2 linked regions of the Macaca fascicularis genome follow. The protein of the gene in region 2 purifies or fractionates together with the protein of the main gene of each other region. This does not show direct contact. Links are inferred from orthologs where the notes say so. Each region holds a gene or a part of one and is shown on either strand. Other genes may lie near its edges.

Region 1 (4,342 bases), about 11 Mb from region 2:
ACAGGCGTGAGCCACCGCGCCCGGCGCTAATTTTTTGTATTTTTAGTAGAGACAGAGTTTCACCATGTTGGTCAGGCTGGTCTTCAACTCCTAACCTCAGCCCACCTCGGTCTCCCAAAGTGCTGGGATTATAGGCTTGAGGCACCGCACCTGGCCAAGCATTATAACTTTAAATGTATACCTCTATTTTTTGATATATCAACTTCAGACATTTATCTTTTGAGTCCCAAGTATGGAAGATAAGGAGCATACTTACCATTCATTAATCTCCCCTCACCATCATCCCATTTTAAAAATATTATTTTCCTACTGTCAATGTTAACAACTTGCATTCTGTAATCCTTCCATGCTTTGTCTTTGGAGGATTCTAAAGTTTATAAACAGACAGTATTGAGAATATTATGATTATGTATATATTTTACTGGAGAACTAAGCATGGAGGGACCCATAAAAAGGGAAATATTCCATACAGATGTGCCAATCTAATAGGCCGAAAAACAAAGTGGGCCAAAGAATCAAACAAGCATCTAATAACATTCACTGAGCAATGCAGCAGGCACACGTTAAGCACTCTACATACATTGCCTTATTTAATCCTCAAAACCACCATTTAAGGAAGAATGATTATGAGCACAACTTTGGAAAGAGAAACTAAGGCTAAGGTTACATGCCTGGCAAGTGCCTGTATCAGCTAGCATGGAGCAGGGCAGAGATTTGAATCCAGGCATGACTCCAGGGCCTGAACTCTTCACCACTAAACTGCTTGTTCATACTAGTCTTTCACTTTCTTTTTCCTAACAATGTCTAATTAATGCCCTGAATAGCAGAGGGAGTATGTTATTCACAGAGATTAAAATAATTCTGTCTAGGCCGGTGCTAGACCGGGTGCTCATGCCTGTAATCCCAGCTCTTTGGGAGGCTGAGGTGGGTAGATCACCTGAGGTCGGGAGTTCGAGATCAACATGGAGAAGCCTTGTCTCTACTAAAAATACAAAATTAGCCAGGCGTCGTGGCTCATGCCTGTAATCCCAGTACTTAAGAGGTTGAGGCAGGAGAATTGCTTGAACCCGGGCGGCGGGGGTTGCAGTGAGCCGAGATTGCGCCATTACACTCCAGCCTAGGCAACAAGAGTGAAGAAGTTCCGTCTCAAAGTCTCAAAAAAAAAAAAAAAAAAAAAAAAAATTCTGTCTAGATAATGAACTTGTTTTCAGATAGATGTTCTCTTCCAAATCTTTTAAAACTATCACAATGACACTGTGTACAGCCTTTCTACTCACCAAATCTGGGAAGCATTAACGATTATGCTTTATGGCTGGATTTCACAATACAGTATACAGAAATAAAGTATAGGTCTCGGAGTGACTTTTCCTGTTCACACATTAAAAATCACGAATAGAACACTGAAAGCAGTAGTCTGATATATGAAAATTATTTAAAACTCAGGAATTTAACACAATAAGCGAAAATTCCTTGAGGATACAGTTATCTCTTTGTTCTATCCTTAATCATGTTTTTCAATTGGGGATAAATTAAAAGGGCTATTGAATTATCCAACATGATGATGTTTCTTGCTACATTATATACACTATGCAGTAATACACTGAGCAGTTTCATTCCCAGTTATCTTTATTTCTAAAATTTACAGATGAAGAGAACATCATTTACAGACCAATTCGCTCCTTATGATTCCAAGCACAGATGATTATTTTACTGTGCAAGGCACGGAGCCACTAAACTCATTCAAAAATAAAACTATCACGGACCAGATGTAAATCAAGCTCTACTGACACTCAATTCTCTATGGCAGGAGGTCAAGTGTCTGGCTTATAATCATAACCTAAACCTTGACACCATTTCAACGCAACAAAATACATTCCTATTCCGAGTAACTGATAGTTTCTTTCCACTACAGGTGTTCTTCAGTAAACTAGTACACAGAACCTCATCTACAACTCAGAACCGGCATTTAAATTACTGGAGCATTCAAACAGATGTGGGTAAAAAGGGGATGCCAATTTCAAGACCAGCTCTAGAATCGAGAGTCACTCATTCTATCAGTTTCCCAAAGATGTCTTGAACTCTGTAGATATTTGTAAATTGGCACTTCTAATTTTTGTTATCCGTTTGTTAACGTATCTGACACTCTAAGCTGTGAGCTTCAGTATGGAAGAGGGGTAACATTCATCTTTGTATCTCCTAGGACTAGCAGTGTCTGGTACACAGCAGGCTCCGAATGCCTGTGTGGAATAAACCACAGGAAGTCCACGCTGCAAACAAAGGAAAACGGAGAGGAGGCATTTTAATTGAGACGTTAAGAAATAAATTACCCTTTAGAAACAGGCCTTGTGCCTCGCCAGCACAGAGTGCAATAAGTGAAGGGGCCTCAGGAAGCCGGAGTAAGGCATTACAGCCCTACCTTCCTTAACTCTCCATTGGGTCTAGACAGTGTGGCCTCTCGCCCTGCAGAGAGCCAGGCCTTCAGGCCCCCGATCCCTGCGTCCAGACGCGTGTGCAAATACCACAGAGCTCAATCCAGCCTCAGCCGTTCTCCCTTCCCAGCTCCGGCTCAGCTCCGGCCCCAGACTAAACTCGGGCCGCGTCTGCTCGCTCCAGGCCGTACTATGACAGGGCAATTCAGGTGGACCACAGGCGAACCTGGTTCACTCACCTACTTGGTAGAGCCGACCCTCGGGTGAAAAAATAGTAATGTGGCGGTCAAAACCGGCGCTGGAACCACGGGACATCTTGGTAGAAGCACTACTTCAAACACAATCCCTGGGTCCCGTAGCTCCCGCACCAGGCGTACAAGCACCTCCCGGAAGTTGCAGCGACTGCTTCCGGGGTATCAGCCGCATTTCTTCCGCTCTTGCACGCCAAACTCATGGCTCTGGAGACAGTTCAAGTGCTGAGCTCTGAGGCCCCGCCCCCAACGGGGGTGGTGGATGGAGGGCGGGGTGACTTCCAAGGTGTGCGCCTGCGCCAAGCCGGCCTCTTGAGTGGATTGAAGAGGTGAAACTTGGGTCGTGGCAGTTTCAGGCTTTCATCTGGAGAATGAATTGACAATAGCAAGGACGAAAAGCCTTCCTGGGGGCCCAGAATAGTGATTTGGCTATCAATGTGACCTAAATAGTCCGTGTAATTAACAAGTCTCTTACATGCATCATGTGTCTGATCAGACTGCTGGCTTGCCTTCTTCCTAACCTCTTTTACCCTCCACTTTGGTTCCTATTACGGGGGAAACAGATTGCAGCTGCAGTAGCTGCAGCAGCTGCAGCTGTTAAATTTAGGCACTGAAGGAAGCGGGTTCAAGTAGCCGCTGGAAAGAACATTATTTTCTGACAGCCAGGCAAGATCTTCCTTTGGCCAGCAGCCCCGACAATTTTTAGTCTTTTTTTTTTTTTTTCGAGACGGAATTTCGCCCTTGTTGCCCAGGCTGGAGTGCAATGGCGCGATCTTGTCTCACTGCAACCTCCCCATCCCGGGTTCAACCGATTCTCCTGTACCAGCCTCCCGAGTAGCTGAGATTACAGGCGTGCGCCACCACGCCCGGCTAATTGTGTATTTTTAGTAGAGGCAGGGTTTCACCATGTTGGTCAGGCAGCTCTCGAACTGCTGAGCCCAAGTGATCCACCTGCCTCGGCCTCCCAAAGTGCTGGGATTACAGGCGTGAGCCACCATGCCCAGCCAACTTTTAGTCTTGAAAGTGGAACTCCAGCCTGGTCAACATAGGAAGGCCCCGTCTCTAAAGAATAAAATAAAATTAGCTGGGCGTGGTGGCGCACGCCAGTAGTCCCAGCTACTCGGGGGGCTAAGGTGGGAGGATGGCTTGAGCTCAGGAGATCCAGGCTGCAGTGAGCTATGATCACGCCACTGCACTCCAGCCTGGGCGACAGAGGAAGATCTATCTCAAAAAAAAAAAAAAAAAAAAAAAAAAAGAAAGAAAAGAAAGTGGAACTGAGGTTGAAATACGGGTAATGGGGAATGAGGTTAAGCACCCTTGATTAATACTGAACTAAAGCTGAAGAGATGGGGCTTATGGCAGCTAGTGTCGCATGGATTAATGAGAGTAATTCCAAGCTGGCGAGGTAGCTCCCAGAGAACAGCAGGTGGCTTTTCAAATCGCAAATTTGTGCCTCTTTTGACTTTCCCCAAGGCACACTCCTATTTAATGAATATAAAATGCAAAACATAATGTTAGAATAGTTGTTTTTCTCCCCAGATACAGATGGTTTGTATACAAAGAAGGCAAGATACACTAATGTTTGTGGCACTGTAATGCCTGCTGTAATACTGAAGTAGGGATTCTTACCTCTTTAATGTATTTCCTGAACTCACTTTCTAT
Region 2 (4,292 bases):
TCCAATAAAGAGACTTGGGCTGATGGGCAGTGGTATAACTATATTTATTGTGCCTGGGAGGCAAGATGAGGGAAAAATCTCAACAGAAGCAAGTTTGGGGAAAATCTGGAGTCCCCAGTAAAAAGTAGGAAGGTCTCTGCTGTACCCATCCCAGAATGGGAGAGAGGGCTCTCAATAGATCATTCCCTTTGTTTCTCCCCTGGGCTTCTTGAGCTTCTCGAAGTTCTTCAGGATGATGTCATATAACACAGCCTACAGGGCCAGGGAGGAGTGGAGGTCAGTCAGAGGCCTCCAGTGGCTCTGTGCCCCATTTCTAGCCTTGTGGAGAAGCTGCGCTTTGTCACCCTTTACCCCCAGCCTGCAGGGTCAGGGAGTGCGTGGCCTGGGAAAGCTGCCTCTGCCCACCCCTGCCCTCGCCTCCTCACATAAGCATTGCGGATCTCCATGACCATCAGCCGGATGTCCCGGTACTCTGCCTCATCCAGCTCGTGCACCAGCTGCCGATAATCACCCTGTGGGAAGCTCGGGTCAGGCCTGACCTTACATGAGTCCTTCCCTCATGCACCCTGACCTGGGCCTCACCTACCACATGGGGCTGCTTGGCTGCTTTAGTCACTGCATCACCACGCTCAGAGAAATACCTGTGGAAGGAGAAGTGTGTATGGAGTAGAAGAAGGAGGTCTCTGTCCCAAAACAGACAGTGTGTACATGGGTGGTCACTCACTTAGAGATTTGGGTGTGGAAGCCTTCTAGCTTGGTGTGGAGGCTGGTCATCAGCTCAAACACCTTCTCCTAGGGAAAAAAAGCAAGGGGGAAAGTAGAAGGAAGCATGGACTAGAAAAGAGCAGGGAAGTGGGGCAGCACTCTCACCTGGACAGCCACTCCAAAATTGTTACCATCCTCAATCCGAGGTATCTGCAGCTGCAACCAGGTGGTGACCTGGGAAGAGGGAATGGCGTAATGCCACATCAGCCCTCTATCCAATTCCGTTTCATATTCTCCCTTGCTTCCCTCCCCACACTGGCTGGAGGCATGCCAGGTCTCTCCTGAGCCTCAGAGCCCGGACTTCTGGTTTCACTTGCTGTGCCCTCTCTTGCTAAAACCTGGCATGTGCCAGGCCCTAAATGGCAGGGACTAAGAGGACAATGGTTTGACTTAAAGCCTGAGAGTTGAAGGGGGAGAGCCTACCAGGTTGAGCTGCTCAATGACATCCTTGATCTCAGGCTTCAAGCGCTGCAGAAGGACCAAGATCTTTTCATTGCAGTTCACTGGACCACAGGGAGGACCTAGAGAGTGAGCAATGGGTCAGTCACATGATTGAGCCTGTGTGAGGGTTGAAGGGGAGAGTAGAAAGAAATCCTTAGGAGTAGCTCCTGTGGGTGGGACTCAAGTCTCTTCCCACAATTGTGGTTTCAAGTACCTTTGTCTTCATCCTCCCCCTTCTTCTTTTCATCCTTGTCTTCCTTCTGCAGAAAAAGAGGGGCTCATGAGAGTCAGGACTAAGGTTGATTACCCCCATGGTTGGATCCCTTCTCCCAGGTCTTCCCAGCTTGCCTCCTGCTGTTTCTTCCGTTCCTCTTTCTCTTTCTCCTTGACTGGATCAGGCACTGGGATGTCCAACGGGGCCTTCAGATTGCTCAGGTTGGCTTCATTGAGAGCTGGCTCCTGGTGTAGGGTGGGAGGAGGGCTGGAGGTGAGGGGGTTCCTTTCACCTCACTCTCACAGCCCCTGACCCTTCTCTTGGCCTTTACTCCCTAGCTCCCTGCCCAGCTGCGGTACCTTTAAAAATGCATCCAGCTCAGAAATCTTCTTGGGGAAATAGCTCCCGAGCAGGTTCTCTGTCTGTGTGTGAGGTGGGATGGAGAAGGATGGGAGTCAGCATCATATGCCCATCCTAGGTGGTGAGGCAGGGTTGAGCAGTAGGAGTTGGGCAGGGGTGGGGCCGCTGATGGGGCATGTCTTACCTTGGTACAGAGGTCTTCACGAAACACATCCACCTGTGGGGCACATGCATCCCTTCAGAAACTTGGCTTTAAGGCCAGTTCATTTGAGGACAGTTCCCTTAGGGTTATGTAGGGCCTGACCTGGGGAAGGGTGGAGGGGATCCCTCTAAGGCCAGACCTGAAGAAAGCGAGATGGATGCCTGTGGGGTGGGTTGGGGTGGTGGAGGAGTGGAACTCTGCAGACCTGGATCTACGGAGAGTGGAATGGGTATCCCTAGGGCTGGATACGGGGGATGAGAACATTCCTGGCAGTGAAGGGCCAGTGGTTCACGTGAGACCAGATCCCTGGGGTCGCCTGGCAGGTGTGAGGAGGGGTGCTGAGAGCCCTCTGCGAGCAGGACAGGGACGGGGTGGGCCCCGGGACCCTCCCTAAGGGAAAGGCCACGAGGTAGCTGGGGCAGTCCCGCATCCAGTCTGTGTGTGGCCCCGGCTCCAGGCCAGCGGAGTTCCCCTCCACGCCAGCTCTCCGCTTCACCTCACCCCACAGAACCACGGCCGCCTCGCCTGTCCCCGCAGGCAGCAGTCACCGCCCTCCCCGGGGCGCAGGTGCTCCGGGAGCGCCAGCTCGGCGGACTGCCCCTGACTTGTGTGGGAGTCTGGGGGGCGGGTCGGGGATGCCCCCGGCCGCTCGAGCCACGCCTCCCCAGTGGGCCTTTTCTAGACCCCGCGGCGCTCACCTTGGCTTGGGCCTCGGGCTGAACCCTGAGCGTGGCCATGACCGGGACGGGGGGCCTAGCGCCGCACGAGGAACGGAGTGGGCACCGCGAAGGGAAAGCGAAAGCGGCGCTCGCACCACTCACGGCCTTCCTGGGTAGTGGGGCGGGGAGGGCTGGAGGAGGCGGGGTCAGCCCGGCCAGGGAGAGGTGCAGTGCAGCAGAGGAGGGCGGCGGGTGCGGCTCCCCCTAGCGCGCACAGGCTGCCTCGCGAGGGCCAGTTTCCAGCCTCCCCACCCCCGCCGGCCGGGTCCCCGCCTCCCCGCCCTCCTCTCGTCCCCGCCTCCCGCCTCCCGCCTCCCGCCTCCCGCCTCCCGCCTCCCGCCTCCCGCCTCCCGCCTCTCGCCACTCGCCGCCCGCCGTCCGAGGACGCCGGGTCCTCCCATCGTCTAGTCTAAGCCAGTCTCTCCGCGCCCCGCCCTCCACCTTCCGCCTCCCAACTGGCTCCCCACCTGCTCTCTTCTTCCCCTGCTCCGCCTGGGACAGATAAGTCTTACTTAGGGCTCTTCTGTCTTTCCCCAGAGATGGAATAAGACCTGGCCTCTCTTTCCTAGCCTTGCTAGCGTGGGCCTCTGGCTCTGCCGACATCCTCCGCACCTGTAGCAACACCGGCACCAGAGCCGACAGCATCCCTATCCAAGCCCGGACCAGCTCTCTCCTGGACCACCGCGGCATATGCCATTCTACAGCCCACTCTCACAGAGCAGCGGGTTCATGCCTCTGTCTGGCTTAAAACCCTTTCTCAGCTGCCTGTTGACCTTAGAATGAAATCCAAAAGGCTGTTGCAGCTGTCTCCCCTTTAAGTTCACTTTCTACTACTTGCCCCTTCATTCATTACACTTGCAAATACTCGGGCTATTTGTTTCCCAAATGTGTCATGTTCATTCCTGCCTCAGGGCCTTTGCCCTTGCTAATAATCCCTTTGTCTAAAACACACTTACCCTGGGTGTTGTCATTCGGTTCTCAGTTTAGATGTCACCTCTTCAGAGACAACTATTTTCATCATCCTCTATAAGGAACCTCCCTCCAAATGCATTACAAATCAGCCTGTTTTAGTACATTCATAGCATTTATCTCTGATATTAGCCCGGTTTTTTTTTTTTTCTCCCCAGGATAATTCACTGATTTAAACTAGCAAACTGTGTGTGTGTGTGTGTGTGTGTGTGTGTTGGGGGACAGAGTCTCACTCTGTCGCCCAGGGTGGAGTGCAGTGGCACAATCTCAGCTTACTGCAACCTCCACCTGCTGGGTTCAAGCGATTCTCCTGCTTCAGCCTTCGCAGTAGCTGGGACTACAGGCGCGTCCCACCACGCTCGGCTATTTTTGTATTTTTAGTAGAGATGGGGTTTCACCATGTTAGCCAGGATGGACTCGATATGCTGACCTCGTGATCCGCCCGCCTCGGCCTCCCAAAGTGCTGGGATTACAGGCATGAGCCACTGCGTCTGGCCAGCTTTTTCTATAAAGAGCCAGAGAGTAAATTGTAGGCTTTATGGGCCTTACAGTGTCTGTCTACTCAACTCTACCATTGTAGCAGGAAAGCTGCCATATGTAAATGAATTAGTATGGTGAGATC

Evidence for each region. The genes of interacting proteins can lie anywhere in the genome.
Region 1: the proteins of PSME1 (region 2) and PSMA6 purify together in Homo sapiens (affinity purification with western blotting; 5 studies listed by BioGRID and IntAct, with this or other methods). This does not show direct contact. The link is inferred for Macaca fascicularis from reciprocal best matches to the Homo sapiens genes PSME1 and PSMA6.

The regions. Positions count from the first base shown.
Region 1 is NC_088381.1:103,105,034-103,109,375, reverse strand, and holds the start of PSMA6 (proteasome subunit alpha type-6), read right to left. Parts: upstream 2,818-4,342; 5' UTR 2,745-2,817; coding exon 2,669-2,744; intron 1-2,668. UniProt on the Homo sapiens protein: Component of the 20S core proteasome complex involved in the proteolytic degradation of most intracellular proteins. This complex plays numerous essential roles within the cell by associating with different regulatory particles.
Region 2 is NC_088381.1:91,949,788-91,954,079, reverse strand, and holds PSME1 (proteasome activator complex subunit 1), read right to left. Parts: upstream 2,835-4,292; 5' UTR 2,720-2,834; coding exon 2,681-2,719; intron 1,998-2,680; coding exon 1,965-1,997; intron 1,843-1,964; coding exon 1,780-1,842; intron 1,666-1,779; coding exon 1,555-1,665; intron 1,467-1,554; coding exon 1,421-1,466; intron 1,287-1,420; coding exon 1,189-1,286; intron 940-1,188; coding exon 871-939; intron 793-870; coding exon 725-792; intron 642-724; coding exon 587-641; intron 513-586; coding exon 426-512; intron 253-425; coding exon 172-252; 3' UTR 26-171; downstream 1-25. UniProt on the Homo sapiens protein: Implicated in immunoproteasome assembly and required for efficient antigen processing. The PA28 activator complex enhances the generation of class I binding peptides by altering the cleavage pattern of the proteasome.